Linked DNA regions of Ovis aries. The protein of the gene in region 5 purifies or fractionates together with the protein of the main gene of each other region. This does not show direct contact. Links are inferred from orthologs where the notes say so. Each region holds a gene or a part of one and is shown on either strand. Other genes may lie near its edges.

Evidence for each region.
Region 1: the proteins of AP1S2 (region 5) and AP2B1 purify together in Homo sapiens (affinity purification with mass spectrometry; 3 studies listed by BioGRID and IntAct, counting the BioPlex papers as one, with this or other methods). This does not show direct contact. The link is inferred for Ovis aries from reciprocal best matches to the Homo sapiens genes AP1S2 and AP2B1.
Region 2: the proteins of AP1S2 (region 5) and AP1G2 purify together in Homo sapiens (affinity purification with mass spectrometry; 3 studies listed by BioGRID and IntAct, counting the BioPlex papers as one, with this or other methods). This does not show direct contact. The link is inferred for Ovis aries from reciprocal best matches to the Homo sapiens genes AP1S2 and AP1G2.
Region 3: the proteins of AP1S2 (region 5) and AP1M1 fractionate together in Homo sapiens (co-fractionation; 6 studies listed by BioGRID and IntAct, counting the BioPlex papers as one, with this or other methods). This does not show direct contact. The link is inferred for Ovis aries from reciprocal best matches to the Homo sapiens genes AP1S2 and AP1M1.
Region 4: the proteins of AP1S2 (region 5) and AP1B1 purify together in Homo sapiens (affinity purification with mass spectrometry; 5 studies listed by BioGRID and IntAct, counting the BioPlex papers as one, with this or other methods). This does not show direct contact. The link is inferred for Ovis aries from reciprocal best matches to the Homo sapiens genes AP1S2 and AP1B1.

Annotation. Positions count from the first base shown.
Region 1 is NC_056064.1:14,441,867-14,445,604, reverse strand, and holds part of AP2B1 (AP-2 complex subunit beta), read left to right. Parts: intron 1-608; coding exon 609-724; intron 725-1,863; coding exon 1,864-2,029; intron 2,030-3,275; coding exon 3,276-3,374; intron 3,375-3,738. UniProt on the Homo sapiens protein: Component of the adaptor protein complex 2 (AP-2). Adaptor protein complexes function in protein transport via transport vesicles in different membrane traffic pathways.
Region 2 is NC_056060.1:21,191,398-21,195,768, reverse strand, and holds the start of AP1G2 (AP-1 complex subunit gamma-like 2), read right to left. Parts: upstream 2,944-4,371; 5' UTR 2,866-2,943; intron 2,523-2,865; 5' UTR 2,491-2,522; coding exon 2,287-2,490; intron 1,877-2,286; coding exon 1,752-1,876; exon of another isoform or gene 1,611-1,751; coding exon 1,469-1,610; intron 1,349-1,468; coding exon 1,252-1,348; intron 1,085-1,251; coding exon 1,008-1,084; intron 891-1,007; coding exon 795-890; intron 399-794; coding exon 318-398; intron 34-317; coding exon 1-33.
Region 3 is NC_056058.1:6,596,593-6,600,330, reverse strand, and holds part of AP1M1 (AP-1 complex subunit mu-1), read left to right. Parts: intron 1-2,891; coding exon 2,892-3,048; intron 3,049-3,738. UniProt on the Homo sapiens protein: Subunit of clathrin-associated adaptor protein complex 1 that plays a role in protein sorting in the trans-Golgi network (TGN) and endosomes.
Region 4 is NC_056070.1:68,659,879-68,664,357, reverse strand, and holds the start of AP1B1 (AP-1 complex subunit beta-1), read left to right. Parts: upstream 1-1,667; 5' UTR 1,668-1,814; exon of another isoform or gene 1,815-1,877; intron 1,878-3,832; 5' UTR 3,833-3,882; intron 3,883-4,479. UniProt on the Homo sapiens protein: Subunit of clathrin-associated adaptor protein complex 1 that plays a role in protein sorting in the late-Golgi/trans-Golgi network (TGN) and/or endosomes.
Region 5 is NC_056080.1:14,009,274-14,013,799, reverse strand, and holds the start of AP1S2 (AP-1 complex subunit sigma-2), read left to right. Parts: upstream 1-1,571; 5' UTR 1,572-1,693; intron 1,694-3,822; coding exon 3,823-4,001; intron 4,002-4,526. UniProt on the Homo sapiens protein: Subunit of clathrin-associated adaptor protein complex 1 that plays a role in protein sorting in the late-Golgi/trans-Golgi network (TGN) and/or endosomes.

The DNA.
Region 1 (3,738 bases), on a different chromosome or scaffold from region 5:
TCTAGATTTGGCTGGTTGTATTTTAGTGATGTTTATCTCATTGCTTCATCCCCTTTAGACAGTTATAAGTCCATAAACTTTCAGTTATATAGCCCAAAAGATGGCAAATTTTTCTTAAGAGTTTTTTGAGTCACAGATAACTGAAAATACAATGAAAACTGTGGACTCTCTTCCTGGGAAATGTGCTTGTCTGCACAAATGAAATTTGGCAGTTTCATTTCAAGAGGTTTAAAGATGCCCTCTGTCTTGCTCATTCATGAACTGCAGATAAAGACCTCCTACTCCGGTGTATTCTGTCATTCTTACTCTTTGCTCATACCTTGACTTACGCTATCTTCTCTTTTCTGTCATCCTGGCTATCCAAGATGATTTTGTTCACTTGAACTGACTCTTTTGTAATGAGTAAAATTTGGGGTGTATCTTGAACTTCTGTACATCTCCATCAGATAACCCTGTGTCTAATACAGTATGATCAAATTAAGTGCCTCATCTTTTAATCTAGTTTAGTTGATGTACCTGGATGTTCTCTCCCCCCACCCCCATTTTTTTTTTGTTGAGGTTGTGTTATTGGGTAGATATCTGACTTCTCATTATGTTCTTCATTGTAGCAATCTGCAGAGCGCTGTGTGAGCACGTTGCTTGATCTCATCCAAACCAAAGTAAATTATGTGGTCCAAGAGGCGATTGTTGTCATCAGGGACATCTTCCGCAAATACCCCAACAAGTATGTCCAAATACTTCTGCCCCTCTTCCTCAGTTCGTTTAGGAAATGTTTAAATAAAGCACTTTGAGACTGGCTAGGTAAGAATTATTTGGTCATAATTAAATGCTTTATTAAAAATCAGAAACGTGTAAGTTTGTGAGCACGAGGATTAAAATCTCATTTTTACTGTTTTATCACTTTTAGAAGAATTGAAGCTCTGTCTGAATATGCATTGTCGATTGACATATTTTTAAAGTTAATCAGGTTCTTTGGTGATGAAGTTACTATTAAATAGGATACTCATGTCTGGGCATAATCCATTTTATGCTTCTTACCAAGCGTAATTAATAAATGTGCCCCCTTTCCACTCTCAGAAATGTCTCAGTTTGAGTAATATGGCCACCCTATTGTAAAATCCAGGAAGGTGACAGCTTCACTATTCACTTTGTATGTTACCTAGTACTTTTAGAAAATTGTAGAACATGTAACGATAAATTATCAGCGTTTTAGACCTTTTCTCAAGTATGGTAGCTGCTTCCATTAAGATATGCAAAATCTACATTTTCACTTCACAGAAAATTTTCATGTTGAGGTCTTAGTTTGTGAAACATACACTTTTTCAGATTTGCTTTTGAAGGCAAGCAATTAAAGAATCTGAAAGAGTGAAATAAGCAGATTCAAGGGGGAGGAGATATATGTATAATTTAAGACTGATTCGTGTTGTGTGGCAGAAATCACAACACTGTAATGCAGTTACCCTCCAATTGAAAAAAAAAGAGCAGATCATCTAAGCACCCTAAATGTCATTTTACCTTATAATCATAGAGATAGGTTGTGCTGAGGCTTCTGACTAATCTTTAAAGATCATATGAAATGAAGTGACTTACAATTAAGTTAGTTTAATGGTGGACTCAAAATTAGAAGAAATATTTTAACAAGGTAGTGGTTTATTAAGTGTTTTATATATTTTTTTTAATTCTAGAAATTGTATTTTTGGGAAAAGGATATGCTTTTACCACTCTGTCAGGAAAGAGGGGTTGGGTTTCTAAATTTCTTGATTAAGTGTGGATACCTTGTCCATGGTTTTGCTTTTAGTCTTCATTGTTAAATACAGTTCTCAGTTTTGCCCTCAGTAACCATAGTCCATTTTGTTACATCAGATACGAAAGTATCATTGCCACACTGTGTGAGAACTTAGATTCACTGGATGAGCCAGACGCTCGAGCAGCTATGATTTGGATTGTGGGAGAATATGCTGAAAGAATTGACAATGCTGATGAGTTACTAGAGAGCTTCCTGGAGGGTTTTCATGATGAAAGCACCCAAGTAAGTTCTCTTCTATACCTAATGAAATAGATGTTTGGGGGAGGATTTCAGGAAAGGTAAAGGTTAGGCAGTTTTGTGTGTCTGAACTTATATATATATATGTGTATATATATATAGTCTGTAGTGTATATATAGTGTGTATATGTGTGGTGTGTATATATGTGTGCATATGTTCATTTTTTTCCTGAAAGCAAAAGGGGTGAGCTTTTTCAGTTGTGCTGACGTCTGTTGGAACAAGCCTGTTTAGCTTACGCTAGTGGTTCTCAAACTTTAATGAGCTGTAGAAACACCTAAGCACTGGTATTTAATCTCTGTTGAAGCTACAGGTTGCTGGAACCCACATTAGAGTTTCTGACTCAGTAGGCCTGAGATGGTTCATTTTTACAAGGTTCAGAGTGGTGATGCTGCTGCTGCTGCTGCTGCTGCTCCAGAACCATGCTTTGACAACTACTGGCTTAGAGCGATAGTTAATTATAATTTTCTGTCACCTAAAGATGATTGCCCATTACTGTCAATAATGGTTGTGGCTCGGTTACAGCTGGAGTTTTTGTCGGGGTGAAGGCTGGCATGTGCATTTTGAAAAGAATCTTCCTTCCCACCTTCTATCTGTCCTCTACCAAAATTGAGAGACCTTGAGAGACTTTTGAGTCAAAGGCCCAGAGAAGCAGATAAATTATTAAACCTTTTCCCCCTGGTGTTCATACTCACTGCAAATTGAAGTTCATAAATGTATTCTATCATAGTAATTTTAATAGGCCCTGACAAGGAATACATACAAGCCAGTAATTTCATGGTTCAGCAAGCCACTCTTAATTGACTGTGATCTAGTATAATTCTGTGGTCTTGGCTCTTGCCTCAGTATGATAAACGATTCTCCAGTTCCCCAAAAGTTGTAGCTTTCGGTGGAAGTAAATAATAGAGAATTTGGTCAGGAACCAGTTTTATTGCCATCAGCATGTTAGCATATACTTTAAGAAATATAGATGATTAATCTGAGGCATAAACAAACAGGCAGTTTTTGATGCCAAAAATGCAACTTGGAGGTAGGAGTCTAGTGAGTTTTCAGTTGATGAAAACCTTTGACTGCTATTGTTGATACTGGCGGAGTTTTCAACCTTTGTCTATTAATCAAAACCAGAAAGGCCTTGTAGTAAGTCAGTCAGTCATGTTTGGGGAAACACCACTTTGGAATTGGTGGTGTGGAATAATATGGATGCCTTTCACTTCATCTATTAAATTTATTTAGGTGCAGCTCACTCTGCTCACTGCCATAGTGAAGCTGTTCCTCAAGAAACCATCAGAAACACAGGAGCTGGTGCAGCAGGTCTTGAGTTTGGCAACACAGGTAAGAAATCTGGAAAAAGCATGGAGTTGATTTGTCTTGTTTTAAATTCTTGGAAAGTGTAAAACTTCTCCCAAGAAGGTTCATTTGGGGAGGTTTTGAATGTAAAGAGTACAGTCTTTAGATTCTGTTAAAAAAAATTCGAAGCAGTACTTCTTTTACATATTCTGCTGAATTAGAGGAAAAGACAGTGGCACCCCACTCCAGTACTCTTGCCTGAAAAATCCCATGGACTGAGGAGCCTGGTGGGCTGCAGTCCATGGGGTCGCTAAAGAGTTGGACATGACTGAGCAACTTCACTTTCACTTCTCACTTTCATGCGTTGGAGAAGGAAATGGCAACCCGCTCCAGTGTTCTTGCCTGGAGA
Region 2 (4,371 bases), on a different chromosome or scaffold from region 5:
CGCATTTCGGCTGGTGTCAGTGTTTGTGGCTACCTGCGTGGATGGGAGAGAAGCTCTAAGGGGCTCCACCCTTTCCTCATGTCATCCCTCAAATAGCTTACAAAAGTCTATCCATCCCCTCCACCCCCGCCCCCCCAACTATGTGCCAGGGACTACTGCACTGTAACAGACTGTGTCCCTGACCTCAGGAGAGATCACAGTCCAGAAAGAAATGGAGACGTGATCATTTGGCCACTGCAGGGGGAGTGGTCATGGGAGGGACGCCCAGGCCAGTGGGATCACAGAGCAACACCCATAACCCAGGCCCCCACCCCCACCTGGGCCAGCAAGTCATTCATGGTCTCACTGCTCTCCTCGTGGTTCCGGCCCAGAATCCGAAGCAGACGAAGTATCTGGACCTGAAATTGGGTTAAATAAAAGTTGGGGGAAAGGGGTTGAGGAGAGAAATCCAACGTTGAGAGCACTGTGAGGGGTCTGGCTGGCTCCCAATAGCCTCCTTGCAGTCCCCCCTCCCAGCCTCCTCTGTCCCCTTGGGCCCTGGGAGGGTTCAGAGGTGAGTGAGGCCAGGAGATCTGGGGACAGTCTTTTGAAAAAAAAAAAAAAAAATGTTACCAAGTTGGATTTTCTACTTTTCAGGCACTCCCCATCCCCACACTGGACCTGGGATGACCTGGTGCCTGCCACCCTCCTGCCCAAGTTACTGATGAACCAAAGTATTGTCTGGGAGGGGACCCCTGGCCATGGGATGCCTAAGCTTTTTGTTCCAGGGATACAGCAGGGAAGGATCAGCCCACCTGCAGGAATGGGTCGCTGACTCCAGACACGCTGTGTTCTGTGGAGCATCCTGTCATCACCAGAGTCCGGAGGGTGTGCACCAGCTGGGGTACCACCTGGAGGGAGGGCAGAGCCTGACCTGGGCATTCTTCCTAATCCTCTCTCCCTTCAGCTCCCTCCAACCCCACTGCCCTTCTCCTCCTGGCCCGGGGCCCACCCCTTCACCAGCCCACCTTTCGAAAGTGCTGGAGGGCTGCAGGGCTTCGTTCGCAGAGCTCGGTGATCAGCGTGACAGTGCCCAGCAGGATGCCTGGGTCAGGGTGAGGGAGCCAATGGTGGACAGGGCACAGGGGAGTCTACTGTGTGCGTGTTTGCATGCACGTGCTGCCCTTCACCTGGGAGCTACTGTTCCTGTCCTTGGGCTCCCTTTCCCACAGCCAGAGCTGAGGCAGTGGACGAGGAGCCCCGTGGCCTTACCATGGTGGCGTTCATGAAGCAGCTGGGCACAGGGTGGGAGGAAGATGTCAGAGAGTTCAGGGACCTTCCGGATCATGTGTACTGCAGTCAGAACAGCCTGCAGAGGTCACAGGGCTCAGAGAGGGCGAGGGTCTGCCAGGATGGAATCCCCCACCTCTATCATGTGGCAGACAGGACAGTTTGTGCAGGAGCAAGAGCCTAGAACCTGCTGTCTCACCTTCTTGCGCACATAGGGGCTGGGCTGCAGGAGCAGCTTCTCCACCTCTGGGGCCAAGTCCCGGCACATCTCAGCAGAGCCCATGGCACTCAGTGTGCACAAGGCTAGGCCTTGGACAGCCTCAATTCCCTGGCTCAGGTCACTGCAGAGTTTGGGGAGGACAGTCAGTCAAGCCTCTGAGAAGTCCAGTCCTTCAGTACCTACAGCAGGCAACCCCCTGGGATTTCCCAGTTCCCCACTCTCCCATCTCCCTGATTCCAAGTGCTTCCCAGAACCCTCTCACTTCTTGATGCTGTTGGTAATGAGCAGGTGGGCATCCTGCCTCTCATCCAGTAGAAGCATGGCCCCCAGGTAGCCCACCCTCTTGTCTGTGAACCTGGGGGAGGCGATCAGTTTCAGGCACTCCATCTACAGGGAAGGGGGCAGACCAGGAAGGGGTAGGGGTGAAACCGGAGGCACTAGCGTGGCTTTTGGTTCTCCTTTACACCAGATTAACCTGTGGGGGCAGCATACCCCAGGACCGCCCCGTTCAACATGAACAGAGGTTTAGGAGATTCAGTTAGTTTCAAGGAAACGGAAGAATGGGAGGAGAAAGGAAGGGCCTTGAATGGCGCTGGCCAGAGAATGAGGGGTTCGGTCCATCTGATGACCAGTTGGGGTGGTAAAGGGCAAGGAGATCTGCGGTACACCCTGTGAGGGCCCAGAAACTCCGCAGAATAAAGAAATCGAGAAACAAGTAAGTGAGGGGGTGGTGTTCGCTACCGTGCCCCACTAGCTTCTCTCATCAAACTCGGACGGGAGGCGTCCACGCCCAGTACCTGTCCAAAGTGGGCGGGGTAGCCTAACATGTGGACGTAGAGCAGTTTGGCCAGCTGGCGGTGGCTGTGCAGAGGGTCCCCATCGCGGAAGGAGGCCCGGATGTGGGCGCACTCTTTCTGGATCACCTCCCGCTCCTGGGCCTGGGTCTTGGCCTCACGAATCTCCTGGATTAGATCCTGAAGCTTCAGCGAGGACGCCACCATCCTGGCGGGCAGAGCCCGGAAACGGAGAGGGCCTTAACCCTCTGGCAGTAAGCATCCGGCCTTTTCTGCACAGGCTTGCAATTAACCAAATTCCCGAGGGCCCGGGTCCCAAGACACGCTAAAACTGATCCCTGTCCCCAAATGCCGCCCGAGACCTCCATTACGCATGCGTCCTCGCCCCACCCCGCACCCGTCGCTACCGAGCCTGCGCTGGAACCCCGCCTATTTCCCCCCCAACGGCGGGTCTCCACCTGGCTTCCCATCCCTAGCTCAGTTATTCCCTTCCTTCTAGAGCCCGGCGCTGCTTCTTTCGCAGAGACCCCCGTCCCCTTCTCAGGCGGTGTCAGCTTCCCCACACCAGGACGCCAGCCTCACCTGGCTTCAGTCTCAACTCCGCTCCTCTCCCCCCAGCGCTTCCTGGTCCTAGCCCCGAGGAAGGTTGGGGCTTGGTCTGATCCTTCTCTCTCCCCGCCCCTATCGCGGGACCCCGCCCCTCCTGGGCCGCCCTGCAGACTGCAGAGCAATCTTGAATCCTCTGACCTTAGGCCTTTCTGATTTGGAGTATAAGGGAAGGATCTTTTTAACTACTTCGGGGCGGCGAGACTGTCTAACAGGCCTGGGACTTCGCAAGAGGGCTCGTTCACTGGAGAGCTTCTGAGAGTTTGGGTTTGAATCCATCGCACCCAAAGGAGAGGACAATTCCCCCCCCTTTTTTTGAACTTTTTTATTAATATATTTTTTTTTTGGTTAAATTTCTTTGTATTTTTTTTTTCCTGCAAGACTTGGTGTTGGCGGCACTGTTGTTTTAACGTCAATCCCAAATTCCATGAAATAGAAATCAGAAGTAAAGTTTGAGAGAGGAAGAGGGAGGGAGGCAGGCCAGGGAGTAAACAGAGTTTGACTAGAAAAAAAAGAAGAGTTTGTGTGTGGTGGGCATTCCCAGGCAAGGCCATTCCTTGAGGGAGGGGGTTGGCAGGCAGCTTGCCTCTGCCTCATGCAGGGGAGGGAGGAAAGATCCCCTGGGGACCCTCAAGCCCCCTCTTCCTAGGGCTTCCTGTCCCCAGGGGAAACGCTAGTACCAGGGATCAGCCACAACCTCCAACAGGGCTCTCTACCCACCTCTCACCCCGGTTTGACTCTCACCTCTCTGCTCTCCCTGGAAAGTGTGTGAGATTGATCCCCTCCTTTGTGTTGTTTTTCCAGTTCACAAGATTCTGATATGATGGGGGAAGGGATCTAACCCACTTAGAGACTACTGACCAGCTTCTCCTGCCCTGTGAGTTCCTGTTTTCTTGTGTGGTTCATTTTCCAGAACTGCCTCCCCCCGCCACTACTGCCAGAGTTGGGGAGTGGGGTCCTTGCTCAGGTGCCCCTAACCCTCTGCAGTAGAAATGTCTTCTTCAGGTCCCTTAGGAATTTAATCAAAGGCCACACGTGAGTCCAGACCAACCAAATAAACTTTTAGGGGGAGAGAGAAAGGTGGGAGAGGTCAGCAGGTGGGCTTGGCTGCATGGGACTTTATCTTTCCTTTACGCATTGCTCTTGACATGGCATGCCATCCTAGGGGGTTGGGTGAGGGGCTGGCTGTTGGGGAAAGAAAGAGGGAGAAGATGCTCAGGAGCTGTTCTACTTTTCATTTCTCTCATCTCCTTCAGCGAAGGATGGAGTTTGGTTAGAACCTAGCTCAGTACTTGGAGGTGAGATAGGCTCCTCCGAGGTCAGAGATGGAGGCTGCATCCCTTCCAGATCTGTCACCAGGCCTCAGAGGGGCACCAGGCTCCTTGGGTCGGGGAGTCCTAGCTGCACGGCCAGTGCCCTGCCCAGTCGACAGTCTTCTCCAGTATCGAGTGTACCCCTTCCCCACGTTCTTCCTTTCCACTC
Region 3 (3,738 bases), on a different chromosome or scaffold from region 5:
AAAAGGAAGGTAATGGGACATCAAGGAAATTCACAACCACACGTCTGCCTGCCAGCCAGCACCTCTGATCTCCAGGGAAACTGGCGAGGCCACACTGAGCTGATGGAAAGCCCTCTAGGACGCTTCGCTGCCCTTCTCTCTCGCCTCTGCGGCTTCTGGCACCACTACTCTGCTCCTCGGCAGCTTCCGCTGGCCTCGGGGTTGCTGTGTCCCTGTTCCCCGTTTCTCTCACTGCTGCCCCTTCTCTCCTGCCCTCCCCTCGGATGTGGGCTCCTCTTGCTTGGGCCTGGCATGCCTCACGTACTGTTGCTCTGCTTGGGGTAGGCTTTGACTCATTCATTCATTCATTCCTATTTTTCGGCCGTGCCTCGCCACCTGCAGGATCTTAGTTTCACGAGCAGGGACTGAACCTGTGTCCCCTGCAGTGGAAGCTCAGTGTCTTAAGCACTGGAATGCCAGGAAAGTCCCAAGGCGCAGGCTTTGATTTCTGTCACTGTGCCAATGACCCCTGAATTTGTACCAGAGTCCAGAGCACTCATTTGGAGATCTGCAGGCCGTCAGGACACCCTGGAGGTCTCACAGCCGTCACAAACTCGGCATTTCCCCAGATGAGCTCCGCACCAGCCCCCAGCCCTGCTGTCTCTTGCCCTCTCGGGGAGTGACACCGCCATCCACACAGGTGCCCATTTAGAGACCTGGGCATTATCCTGCCCTTATTTGCCTCACTGCCACGCTCACTGCAGAGACATTTACTGAGTAGCTGCTATGGGCCAGGATCCGAGGCTGCCCTCACTGTACTTAACCAGTGCTCCTAGGTACCCACCGTGGGCTCTGCCTCCCATCCCATGGCTTTAGCTCCACTGTCCCCTCTGCCTCTATCCCACCTGTATCCTGAGGGCTCAGTTTGACGGTCTCACCCTTGCAGAGTCTCTCATCTCCCTTCAAGCAAATAGCTCAGTGCAGGGACCCTGTTTGTCTTGGTCACCCTGGTGTCCCCAGGCCCCGCATAGTGTGTGGCGGAGAGCATGAGTGAGTGGGCCTCTGCAGCCTGTGTGATGAAGGCGAGCAAAATACATAACTCCCTGCTCTTTCCTCAGAATATACTGGGGCCTCAGGGGCTCCGTGCCAATTGCATCCTCCAAAGTTGGATAACCTGGAGTAGAAGGTGGGCTTAGGAAGCCCAGGAGAGCCATGTTTATCGAGTGGAAGTGTCCCTGCAGGGAGTGAGAAGTGGGGTTAGAACCTGGCTCTCCTTTGTTCACTGTATGACCTCAGGCGGGTGGTGCCACCTCTCCAGACATCACTGTTCATTGCTTTAAAAATATCAGTCCACTTTGTAGTGGGTGGGATTTATACGAGGCAGCATATATTCCTGGCAAAGAACATATGAGAGGGTATGTCGTAGTCCCTGGGCCAGGCACCCACAAGCTCACCCACTGGGTGCTGGGTCTCTAAGAGGCCTTCTGAACAGCAATGAGTGCACAGGGTCCCTTGCCCGTAGGCCACAAAGGAGAAACTAGGAAAGGAGGGTTCTTTCTCGGTCACTCGACCACTCTCTCTGGCTTGCAGCAGTAAGACAACGTATTTTATGAAACGAAGATACTGTGGGAAGGAAACGGCAACCCACTCCAGTATTTTCCCATGGACAGAGGAACCTGGCGGGCTACAGTCCGTGGGGGTCACAAAAGAGTCGGGCAGGACTTAGCAAGCATGCGCCACCAGAGGTCCTGAGGCAGGCGGCTCCCAGGCTGGTCGGCGCAGTGGTGCCATTCTTTGCACATAGCTGCGTCCTGCAGCTGGCTGGCCTCAGGGATGCACGGGAGCAGCAGCTGCCCTGGGCAGCATCTCCACATAGAGCCTTGCTCACCGTGGTGTAGCTTCACGCCTCCTTTTCTTTCCTTCAGTGAGTTACGTGTAACTGACTGTGCTCATATAAAGCATATCGTTTGATGAGTTCAGTCACTGTATACATCCAGGAAACCAGGGGCACACACTCTGTCTCTTCCTAAAGGTTCCCCACACCCATGCCTGTCCAGCCTGTCCCCAGGCAGTCACTGATGTATTTTCTGTTACCGTTTCCCGGGATGTGTTTGTTTAGGTGGGATCACATAGTTCCGGTCTCCATCGTCTGGTTTCTTTCCCTTGGCTCAGTGATCCTGAAATTCCCTCCTGCTGTCGCCGGTGTCAGGAGTCATTCCTTTTCGTAGCTGAGCAGTTTTCTGTAGTGTGGTTGGACACAATTCTTGTCTCCACTCACCTTTTGAAGGATATTGGCATTCTCGCCAACCTGAGTCTACTTCAAATAATGCGCTGTGAGCATCCGCACATGTGTCTTCATGTGGACGTGTGGTTTCCTTTCTCTTGGATAAATAAATACCTGAGAGAGGAATGGCTGGGTTATAAGCTGATTTTAGCTTTCTGAGAACCGGTCAAACTTTACCAAAGTGGTTGTCCCATTTCACATTCCCATCAGCAGTGATGCCACACGCCGGGACCCATAAGAGAGGCGAGAAGGGTTTCTTTTCAGGTCACAGGTGGGATCTAGTAGGTGTGCACACTCAGCAGTGCCCCTCTCCTGACAGAGCCAGAAGGGCAGGTGCATGAGCACAGCGTGGAGGAGGTCTGCACTTAGAGCCTGCCGGACACAACCTGGCGTCTCCCCGTGATTCAGTCCTGGACTCTTGCCCCACAGCCGCCTCCCAGGGCCCCCATACAGGACTCTCAGTAGCCCCAGTAGATGTTCACGTGGGGAAGAGCTTTCCTTGAGGAATTCCCTGGGGCGTGGAGATCGAATGGCCCTTTGATGGACAGGCGTGACTGGGGTTCCCAGGAGGGCCGGAGGGTGGTGGAACTCAAGGTAAAAGTGCCTTCCCTCTCTCCCACCCGCCCAGGTGCTCATCTGCCGGAATTACCGCGGCGATGTGGACATGTCAGAGGTGGAGCACTTCATGCCCATCCTGATGGAGAAGGAGGAGGAGGGCATGCTGTCGCCCATCCTGGCCCACGGGGGCGTCCGCTTCATGTGGATCAAGCACAACAACCTGTATCGTATCCCTTTGTCGGGGGTGGGGATGGCTCCTGTGTGGGCTTGTGCACACACACACACACACACACGTGCAATTGAGAGCTGCTGTCCCCAGGGCTGGCTGGATCAGGCTAGCAGGGGGCCATCAGGCACAGCCCTGTCTTCTGGAGCTCCCTGCTGCCTAAGGATGACAAGTGGGATAGAGGTCCAAGGAGCCAGGACGGGTTGCTTGGGGAGGGAACATCCCAGTGGAGACCTGCAGGAAGGCCAGGTGTCTGCCTTAGGTGTCTGCTGGCATGAGGCATGCTAGGCCTGGGTGAAGTCTCACTCGGCAGCTGCAGTGGGGGTGACTGGAGCCCTAGAGTGGGGTGCATGGCAGGAGCGAGGCCCAGTGGTCAGCAGGGTGTGCGCTGCAGGGCCCTGTAGGCAACCACCTGAATGAAGTGTGTTGGAAAGTCTTGGGAGGGTTTCAGGCAGAGGGCTGACACGGTCTGATTTGCATTTTCTGCATTTTCTCTGGCTGCTGAGTGGAGACCGGATTTCAGGGATCAGAAGTAGACATAGGAGGTGGGGGTGGGCAGAAGCCTGGACTGTGAGGGGTGGTGGGATACAGAGAAGGGGAGAGATTCTTCCCCACCCTGCCCAGATCTCAGAGCCCCTTGCTCTCAGGCCCATGGGGAGGCCTGGCTGAGCCAGTTCCCATCCAGGAGGTC
Region 4 (4,479 bases), on a different chromosome or scaffold from region 5:
TGCGAAGAGTTGACTCATTGGAAAAGACCGTGATGCTGGGAGGGATTGGGGGCAGGAGGAGAAGGGGACGGCAGAGGATGAGATGGTTGGATGGCATCACTGACTTGATGAACATGAGTCTGAGTGAACTCCGGGAGATGGTGATGGACAGGGAGGCCTGGCGTGCTGCGATTCATGGGATCGCAAAGAGTCGGACACGACTGAGCAACTGAACTGAACTGATGATATGTATTATATTATATATAACATATAATACAATTTTAAATATATAAATTAATATTATATACGCATATATAGATATATACATACATATATATGCATATAAAATACATGTTATATTAATATATTATAATATATTATATATAATGTTATATACTTTATATATTATATTATAATATATGATTATTATATATAAAATACATACAGACATATATATGCATCAGTTCAGTGTTTATATATAACACATATTATATATTTATATATTATATATTATATTTCTAATATATTATTTATATATTATATATAATATAGTATAATTTATAATACATAATATATATTGTACATAATGTAGAATAAATAAATGTATTATGTATTATAATTATATATAATATATAAGTAAATATATTTATATATACATAAATATATAAAATGTATAATATAATATTATACATTTTATAATATTAAAAGACTAGTGATAAAGTGCACAACTGTAGGGGACTGTTTCGGAGAACAGTGGTGCCGTTCATACTGCGCAATTCCATGCAGATATTGTAAAACACCAAGTAGAAATGTATTTATTGTTTTGGGAAACAATAATTCACCAATTCACCAATATCTTGGTGAATTAAAAATACTGAATGGATATATCGAGTCTGGAAGGATATTCACCAAAATCTTAAAAATTATTGTCTCAGGGTGGCAGGATTGCAGGATTTTTTACATAGCCTTTTGCTTACTCGTATATTTCCATAATGCAAATATTATTTTAGATGTTTTTAAGAAGATGATCAGAAATTATCTAGGAGGAGGAGAAAGTTAATAATACCAGAGCTGGGAGTGAGATACCTATAGCAACCCTGGCCTGGCCGACCCAGCAAAACGGGAAATGGAACTTTTAAGTTCTCCTTGGAGGTGTGAGGTTTACGCGGAATTCCCCGAAGGGCTGCTTCAAGCGGTAGGTTAGACTTACAGCTCTAGTTTAACTCTTCTCTTCACAGGTAAGTGATCTTGAGCAACACTGGCGCCTCTCAGAGACTGAGTTTTCCTGTTTGTAACACAGAAGCGAAGCTGACCTCAAAACAAAGAAAAATAGACCTCAAAGTCTCTATGATCTTCTCCATCTCCGTCATGTTATATAGGCTCAGTTCAGCTCAGTTCAGTCGCTCAGTCGTGTTCGACTCTTTGCGACCCCATGGACTGCAGCACGCCAGGCCTCCCTGTCCATCACCAACTCCCGGAGTTTACTCAAACTCATGTCCATTGAGTCGGTGATGCTATCCAACCATCTTGTGGTATTTTTTGCTTGGCGGAGCAGCAACGTGTCGAGGGCGGAGTTAACTCCGACGCCCCGCCCCCTGGCCCCGCCTCGCTGCCACCGCCCCCGCCCGGGTTGTACCCTTGACCCCGCCCCCAGCCTGTGCGTCCACCGGAAGTGCCCGCGCGCGGGCAGCTCACTTCCGCCTGGCAGGTGACAGCCGCGGGGCTCCGAGCGTCCGGCGGCGCGGGCGCACCGGGAGAGCGGGAGGACAAGGCCGCGGACATTTTCCTGTCGCGTCGAGCCGCGCCGTGGCGTCAGGAGCCTTTCGGACCTGCGGGTGAGGAAGCGGGGAGCCTGGCGAGGCCAGAGAAGAAGTGGGGCGGGGAGTCGGGAGTCTGAGGTGAGGGATTTCTGGGGTCAAAGGTCACGGAGAGTACAGGGCGCTGGAGGGTCTAGAGTGGCTTCCCAGGACGGGAGGAGGCAGAAGGGCTGCGGGTTCATTCATTCGCGCCCCCTTGGCCGCCGGCGTGCACCCCAGCCGTCCCAGGTCCGCAGTCCCTGCCGGGGCGCCCTCCCGTAGAGACTCCTAGACTTAGGCCCAGGGGAGCTTGTGCCTGGCCTGACAGGAAACTTCTCTTCGGGTCTTGGTTCCCCCTGCACACTCAGCGCCGTGGCTGTCCTGAGGCCTCCTTGTCGTTAAGGGCCTTATCTCTTTGCCAAGGTTCAAAAACAGAAAAAAAAATATGAAACGGCCTGGCGCCACCGCCTCTAGGGTGGGGTTAAACAGAGGATTGGTCTGTCCCTAGGCGCCTCACAGACGAGGTAACTGGGGACCCCTGTAATAACGCCAGAACTACTGATGGGAATGCTAGCTGCTGGTTATTGAGCTGTGTGCAGGCACCGTGCTTAGAATGCCGCATTTAAACTTCCCAGCAATCTTGGTGAGGTAGCTACTATTATTATCCCCATTTTATCCACGAAGAAACTGAGGCACAGAAAAGTTAAATCACACCTGTAAGGTCAATCGAGTAGTATGGATGAATGCCAGGGTTCCTACCTGGGCTCGCAGGGACCTGCAGCGTGCTGAGACTGAAGCAAGGTTGGCATTTAGGGGCTGTTTAATATCTTTAGCCGCCATTAAATTTATTTGCATCTATATAAAGATATATTTCCCTGGAGAAGGAAATGGCAACCCACTCCAGTATTCTTGCCTGGAGAATCCCATGGACAGCGGAGCCTGGTGGGCTGCAGTCCATGGGGTCGCAGAGTTGGACATGACTGAGCGACTGAACAATAGCATTTAGAGATGTAGCTTGCTTTCTTCTCATCTACCTTCCTAAGGAGCATTTGATTCCCTTTCTTTAGGATGAAATTAGGCCATTGCTATAACTGATTTCTGTTCAGGGTGAGAAGGGGCCTTTTTCCCAACTGTTGAGAACTGCGAGACATAAAACAGTCTAGCCATGCAATGAATTTAAGAATATGCTGCACCTCTCTTGAGAGTGGTCAAGCTGCATTCTTTTTCAAGTAAGGGGAGGAACCACATGACCCCTAGGGTATCTTTTGGCCCTAGGTTCTTGAAGAGCATTCCCAAGGCAAGGACCTGAGTCTCTGAGAAAAGTGCAGGTCCCATGCCTTCTTGACTGGAGAACACACATCTTGCCTGGGAGACAGTGAGGTGGTTTCATGGCCAGAGGATTAGGTCTTGTGAGTCTGAGCTTTACTCGGTTGCAGACATTCACGTGCTGCAGTTCGGCTTCAGTTTCCCTGATAGCAGCACAGACCTGCTGACTTCCTACACACTCCGGGGTTTTACAAGCCTTAGTGAACCTGTGAGGATTTCCACGCACTTATAAAGAAAGCTGAGGTATAAATATTACTGTGCAGTACCTGTTTTTAAACTCCACTGTCTGTTTTCCTAGTTCCATTGAATTCACAGAAACTTAATATTGTCACCTGATCCCCATCCTTCCAAGGGAGGATTTGAGATAAAGTGACTCGTCACAGATGGTAGGAACAGGAGCAGCGCTCAGAGTGTCTGGCTCCCTGTCCTGAGTTGAGCCCACCAGGCTCCTTCAACCCCTCAGGGCAGCTTCATGAAGAGTGGCTTCACTAGTGTTCAAAGACTCAGGTCCCTCAGACTTTGTATAAAGTTTAACTGTTGAGTGTAGTTTGAGTAGAGGCTTCACCTGAGTGACTTGGAGAGCTCAGTGGTGTGGTGGAAAGAGCCTTCCTTGTCCCCCCATCTGTCAGCCGTGGATTCTCCCCCCAGATCAGCAGCTTCTTGGTAGCGTGACCCAGAGCCACCTATCCCTCAGCTCTACAATAATACCACCACCTTCACCTCCCCCTCAGCAGTGACTCGTGTGGAAGCTGGACAAGGACTTTGTGCAGAGTCTGTTGTGGTGAGTGCCTTGACCCTAGGCAGTTGATGTTTCCTGGGGGCTGGTTTTGGGGGTGTTACTTCTCTCTGCAGAGTCCTTTGTGTACACAGGACCTCTCCCATCCTTCTTGTTTCACTTCCTTAAAGTGTTTCAGAACAAGTTCAATCTGTTGATCCTGCTAGCTCTGGGCTTGGACTTTCATCTTTCTCTAGTTATCCTTGAAGCTGTTGCATGACTTGCTTGCTTACTTCCCGAAAACCCCCATTCTTGGCACCAAAGTGTGATGTGCTAATGGTGAGCCAGCATGGCTTGGTTATGAGTTTTGAGCTCCAATGTGTTTCCAGAAATCAAAGGGGCTTCTGTTACTTGCAGGTATTTCTTTTTCTGAATAGGTCTTTTTGCCTAAGATAGATCACTGATAAATTTTCACAGCCCAGGAATGATTTTTGTGTTCTTTTTCTCTCCACACAGAGAGGAATGAACAGCTCCAGAGAGAAAATATTAATTAGACAAGTGGGGAATCTTTTAAAAATAATTCTACTTGAAGGGACTTCCCTGGTTGCCTAGTGGTCACGAATTTGCCTTGCAATGCAGGGGACTTGGGTTCGATCCCTGGTC
Region 5 (4,526 bases):
CTTTATGTTGACCACTTTTAAAATATTACAGTAAATGTTTATCATACACATTAGTAGCAAAATTTCCAAGCAGCATAGCAGTGTCTGAAAGGGGAGGTAATATACATTTTTATCTTGCCAAAGAAGGGCATTAAAAAATGCCCCCAAATCCCTATTATGTACTTAGTTTTACAGACATTTTAACACACGTGAAAAGAACACAATCCCTAATAAAGGATTCCTTTAGATTGATTAAACTTCGCTTCCTAGAAAACTTTCCCTTTGGGCCATTAAAAAATTCTGGCGACTATGTTTGGGTGCCTCTGCAAAAAGGCCATAGCTTAACAAAAGCAATATTCTAAATTTCCTTTGTAAGAACCGGTGACTGGGATAATGAATAGCGTTCGACATAAGAAACCCGTGGCTGCTCAAGCAAGGTCACTTAATCCCGTGGGGCTCCCCTTTACTCATCTGTAAAAGATGAGTCGGACTGGATGATTCAACCACTCTCTCAATCGAAAAAAATGGACATCCATTATGTGCCAGACACAATGCTCAGCACCATGGCTCTTAACAAACAAATCTACCGTTTTAGAGTCCTTATCAGTCAACTCACATTTATTAGAGGTGTTACATACCAGGCAGAGAACTAGGCTGGGATGTAAAATGAATAAAACTCAAGATGTGCTAATGGGTATATGGGTGAGTGAGGCTTCATAGGAGCTGTGACATTTGAGAGCAAGGGCATGCCAGGCAGAGAAAGTCGTCGGCAAGACTAAACTGGAACCCAAGCGGCTGTGGGGGAGGTGAGGGTGAAAGAAGCGGAATCTAGAAGAGGTGCCGGTCGGGCTTTTCAGCAGGGAACGGACAGTAACTCCTCAGGTTCGCAGCACTGAGGATGAGCGAGGCAAGCCCCGGCAAGAGACAGTTGCAGTTTGGGGCGAAAAGGTGTCTAGGACTGCAGCACTGCGATGGGAAGGGCCGGATTCCGGGTGGTTTTGAGGCAAAGTAATTGCAAAAAAGCCCTCTAAACGCGGGCACGAGCTCCACGAAAGAGCTTTGTTTTCTTCCGAGTTGCAGCACTCCCTCTCTCCCCTCACCAACAGTACCGGCCATTAAACGGCCCCGTCCCACCCTCTCGGGGCACCGAGAGTTGTCGGAGCTCGAATGCGGTTCTTGGAAGTACGGACCTTCCCTGCCCAGCTTAGTACGGTCAATAAACGGCACAGTGAAACACTGTCTTCTCTCCACAAAATAGACCCGACAGCCGCGCGCGTCAGAGAAGCGCACTCAGGAGAGCGCAGGCGCGCCAGCCCTGGCAACAGCCGCTTCCGGGTCACGTGGCCTGGCTTCCGGTCCGGACCTCCCTCTCGGTAGAGACGCGGCCAATCAGATTCCTCGGACTTCGCGGTCACCTGAGCTGCCTTCGGAGCCGTTGGCAACAGCCGAGCTGCAGCCAGCGCACCGCCCAGCCCGCCCCTCTGCTCGCCGCAGCCCCGGCTCCTCCCTCGTCCGGCCCCCGGGGCGGGGTCTGTCGGCTCGCCCTCCCCTCTCAGCCTAAGCCTTCCCTCCGCGAACCGGGTCCCCTCCCCACAGCAAAACGGCTTCTCTTCCTCAGCTCAGCGACAGGGGCTTCCCCTTAGTCGCCGCCGCCGACGCTGCCGCCGCCGCCGCCGCCGGCCGAGCCCCGCCGCAGTCGCGGCCCGCGGCCGCCGTAAGTCCCGGGAGGCGAGCGGGGACACCGGGGTCGGGGAGTGGGGAGGGAGGGTCGGGCGAGCCCCCCGCCGCCCAACGAGCGCCTGGACGACCCCACCCCGCGCCCGCCCGCCCGGCCCGCTACTGGGGCACCGCGCCCCGAAACTCACTTCTCTTTGCTTCCGCGCCCCTCTCCACTCGGCGCCGCGTCCCGGGCTGCGGGGGCCAGTTTCGGACGCTGCAGCGGGTCCGCGGCACCTGTGGTTTGGGAATCGCCTCAAGTTTTGCGGGGCATTTGCGGGCGGGGTCGGCGGCCGGGGGCGGCGGAGACGGAGGACTCTTGGCGCCCCCTGCGCGGCGGCGGTTGCCATTGTCTTCCCCGCTCCTTGCTTGTCACCTCGCCCGGGCTCGATCGGTCAGTGATGGAGTGCGGCCCCGTGGGGCGGCGGGCAGGCAACGGCCCCTGGCCCCGAGCCCGCTCCGCGGCCGAGCCCATTGTTTTTAATACCAATCTCCAGGAATTGAGGCGCCTTGTGATTTGAAGCAAAATCGGAGCGTTGGTTTTTAACTAGAGGGAAGGAATACTTGTGCCTTGCGACCAGGCATCATCCTATGTTAACATATAATTTATTTTAAAGAGCATAAATTATTTATTCGTCATATAAAGTGATGGTGGGGAGAGATGGAGGACCTTGCTATAGACTCCCTTGAGTCCTAGAGTTTCAAAAGCAAACCCCCAGTCCTCCTGGTCTCCAAGATCCTGGAATACGGGTCTGTTCTTTTCCAAGTTCTGCTAACGGGTTTGCGTGAAACATTGTCCAGTTGATGCGTTACTTGCTGTCCCTTTCTAATGTCGCTGTCTTAACAGGACTTCTGTATGAGGCACTTTGACATCACCAGTGTTGTTCGTTTATTTCGTGCCAGTGATGCGTTTTAAGTGTGATGTTAACAGCCAGTTTCAACTTTATTTAAGTTAAATTGTCGCATCGTAAATTTCTAAATACCTTATTGATGCCCGTTTGGATTATTACAAAAAGCGGCAATGATTTCTTGGTGAAATTTAGCGCCCATTTTATTCAGATGGATGGTGTAAATTCCCCCACCCCATGTTCAAATTCAGTATGGTGTGGTTAATACCAAGAGTCAGGCTGAATCCTACTTGCAGAAACTAGTACTGAAACTTAGAATAATTAAAAGAAAAGAAAATATCTAATTTCTACCTTTAAATTACCTTTGTAGAAACAATGCTTTCTGTTTGCAGTTGGGGAGACTGAATTACAAGAAGGTTTCCTTAAAAATTAAAACATGTAGACTAATCATCATTTGCAGATTCTAAATAAATGTATACAAAATAGTTTGTGTGAAATACACTAGAATTCAGCATCCACTCCATCTGTAGATGCTATGTTTTTAAATCGTTTTAAATGAAGTATTTCGTGTAATGTCTGAATGTGTGTAGCTCTTAGTTTGGCTTTTTAAAGGTTTATATTCTCTTCCGTAAAACTATATTAACTCACTTTATTGTGTGTATATTTATGTTGGAATTTTTAAAATGAGATGCGAATTTTTTTAATCAGGCTTTTATTAAGAAAAATGTGTTTATGGGATTTTTTTGGTTTATATTTTAGTTCTTTTGTTTTGCTTAAAATATGTAAACATAAACTGAAGACAGCATTTCAAGTTATAGCAGTCTGTCTACAAGTAATTCAGTTTGGCTCTAGAACAGCTTATTCTGTGTAGGGTGGAAAATAGTAGGTCTGTTTATTTCAAATGCATCTAAACCAGTTGATGTCAACAGTTCTCTTTTGATCCATATACATTCCTATAGCACACATACACAATAGTTTCTTAAATTGCAAGAATTATCTTTCTTTTTCATCAGAATTTTCACCTCACCTGTTTTTGTCCTCCCCCTCTCCTCCAAACTTAAATGGAACAGGGTGAGGTGGGAGGATTTGCATCTGGTGGAAAGATCTTTCTACAAGAATTTCCTGCTATTTTAACTAGCATAGAAATATTGATGGCTACTCATCATTTGTTGGCTAAACGCCCTGTCCCTCAAAGCTTCTCTTTGCCACGTGTCATCTTAATCTTAACTTTATTGAATCAAAGTATTGCCTGTAATCTTGGTTCTGTTTATCTTAACAGATGCAGTTTATGTTGCTTTTTAGTCGTCAGGGAAAGCTTCGACTGCAGAAATGGTATGTCCCATTATCAGACAAAGAGAAGAAAAAGATCACAAGAGAACTTGTTCAAACCGTTTTAGCACGGAAACCTAAAATGTGCAGCTTTCTTGAATGGCGAGATCTGAAGATTGTTTACAAAAGGTATAATTTTTATTTATTAGAAGGATGAAATAGAATCAGTTATTAGATCATTTATAATGTGGAAATTGCAGACTTTCAAGAGATTACATTTATAAATAAAGATTACTAAAGATATAAATGAAATAGTCTTAAGGTAAAGCTTTGTACTTTTAAGATAACTACTGTTTTGGTGAAATGATAAAATCATGGGACTCTTTTTAAACGAAATTATGTAACTAAAGGCATAAATGATACTTCATGCTTAATCATCTTTTTAGGAAAACTGAAAGAATTCATTTCTTTGCAGGGGAAAATAAAGTCAGTATTTTAAATTGTGTGAGTAATTTTCTGAATTTAGATAAGCATTTACCTCCCCCTCCTTTCTCCCCGCAAATCCGTAATGACTGGTATTCGATATGCCTTTTAATCTGACTTTCAGAATCTCTTATTCATGTATAAACTCCTTGGATATGTACACTGTTTTAGTCATAGATGTTTAAAAATCGGATATATACACGACTTGTTCGTTACTGCTTATTAGTTTGA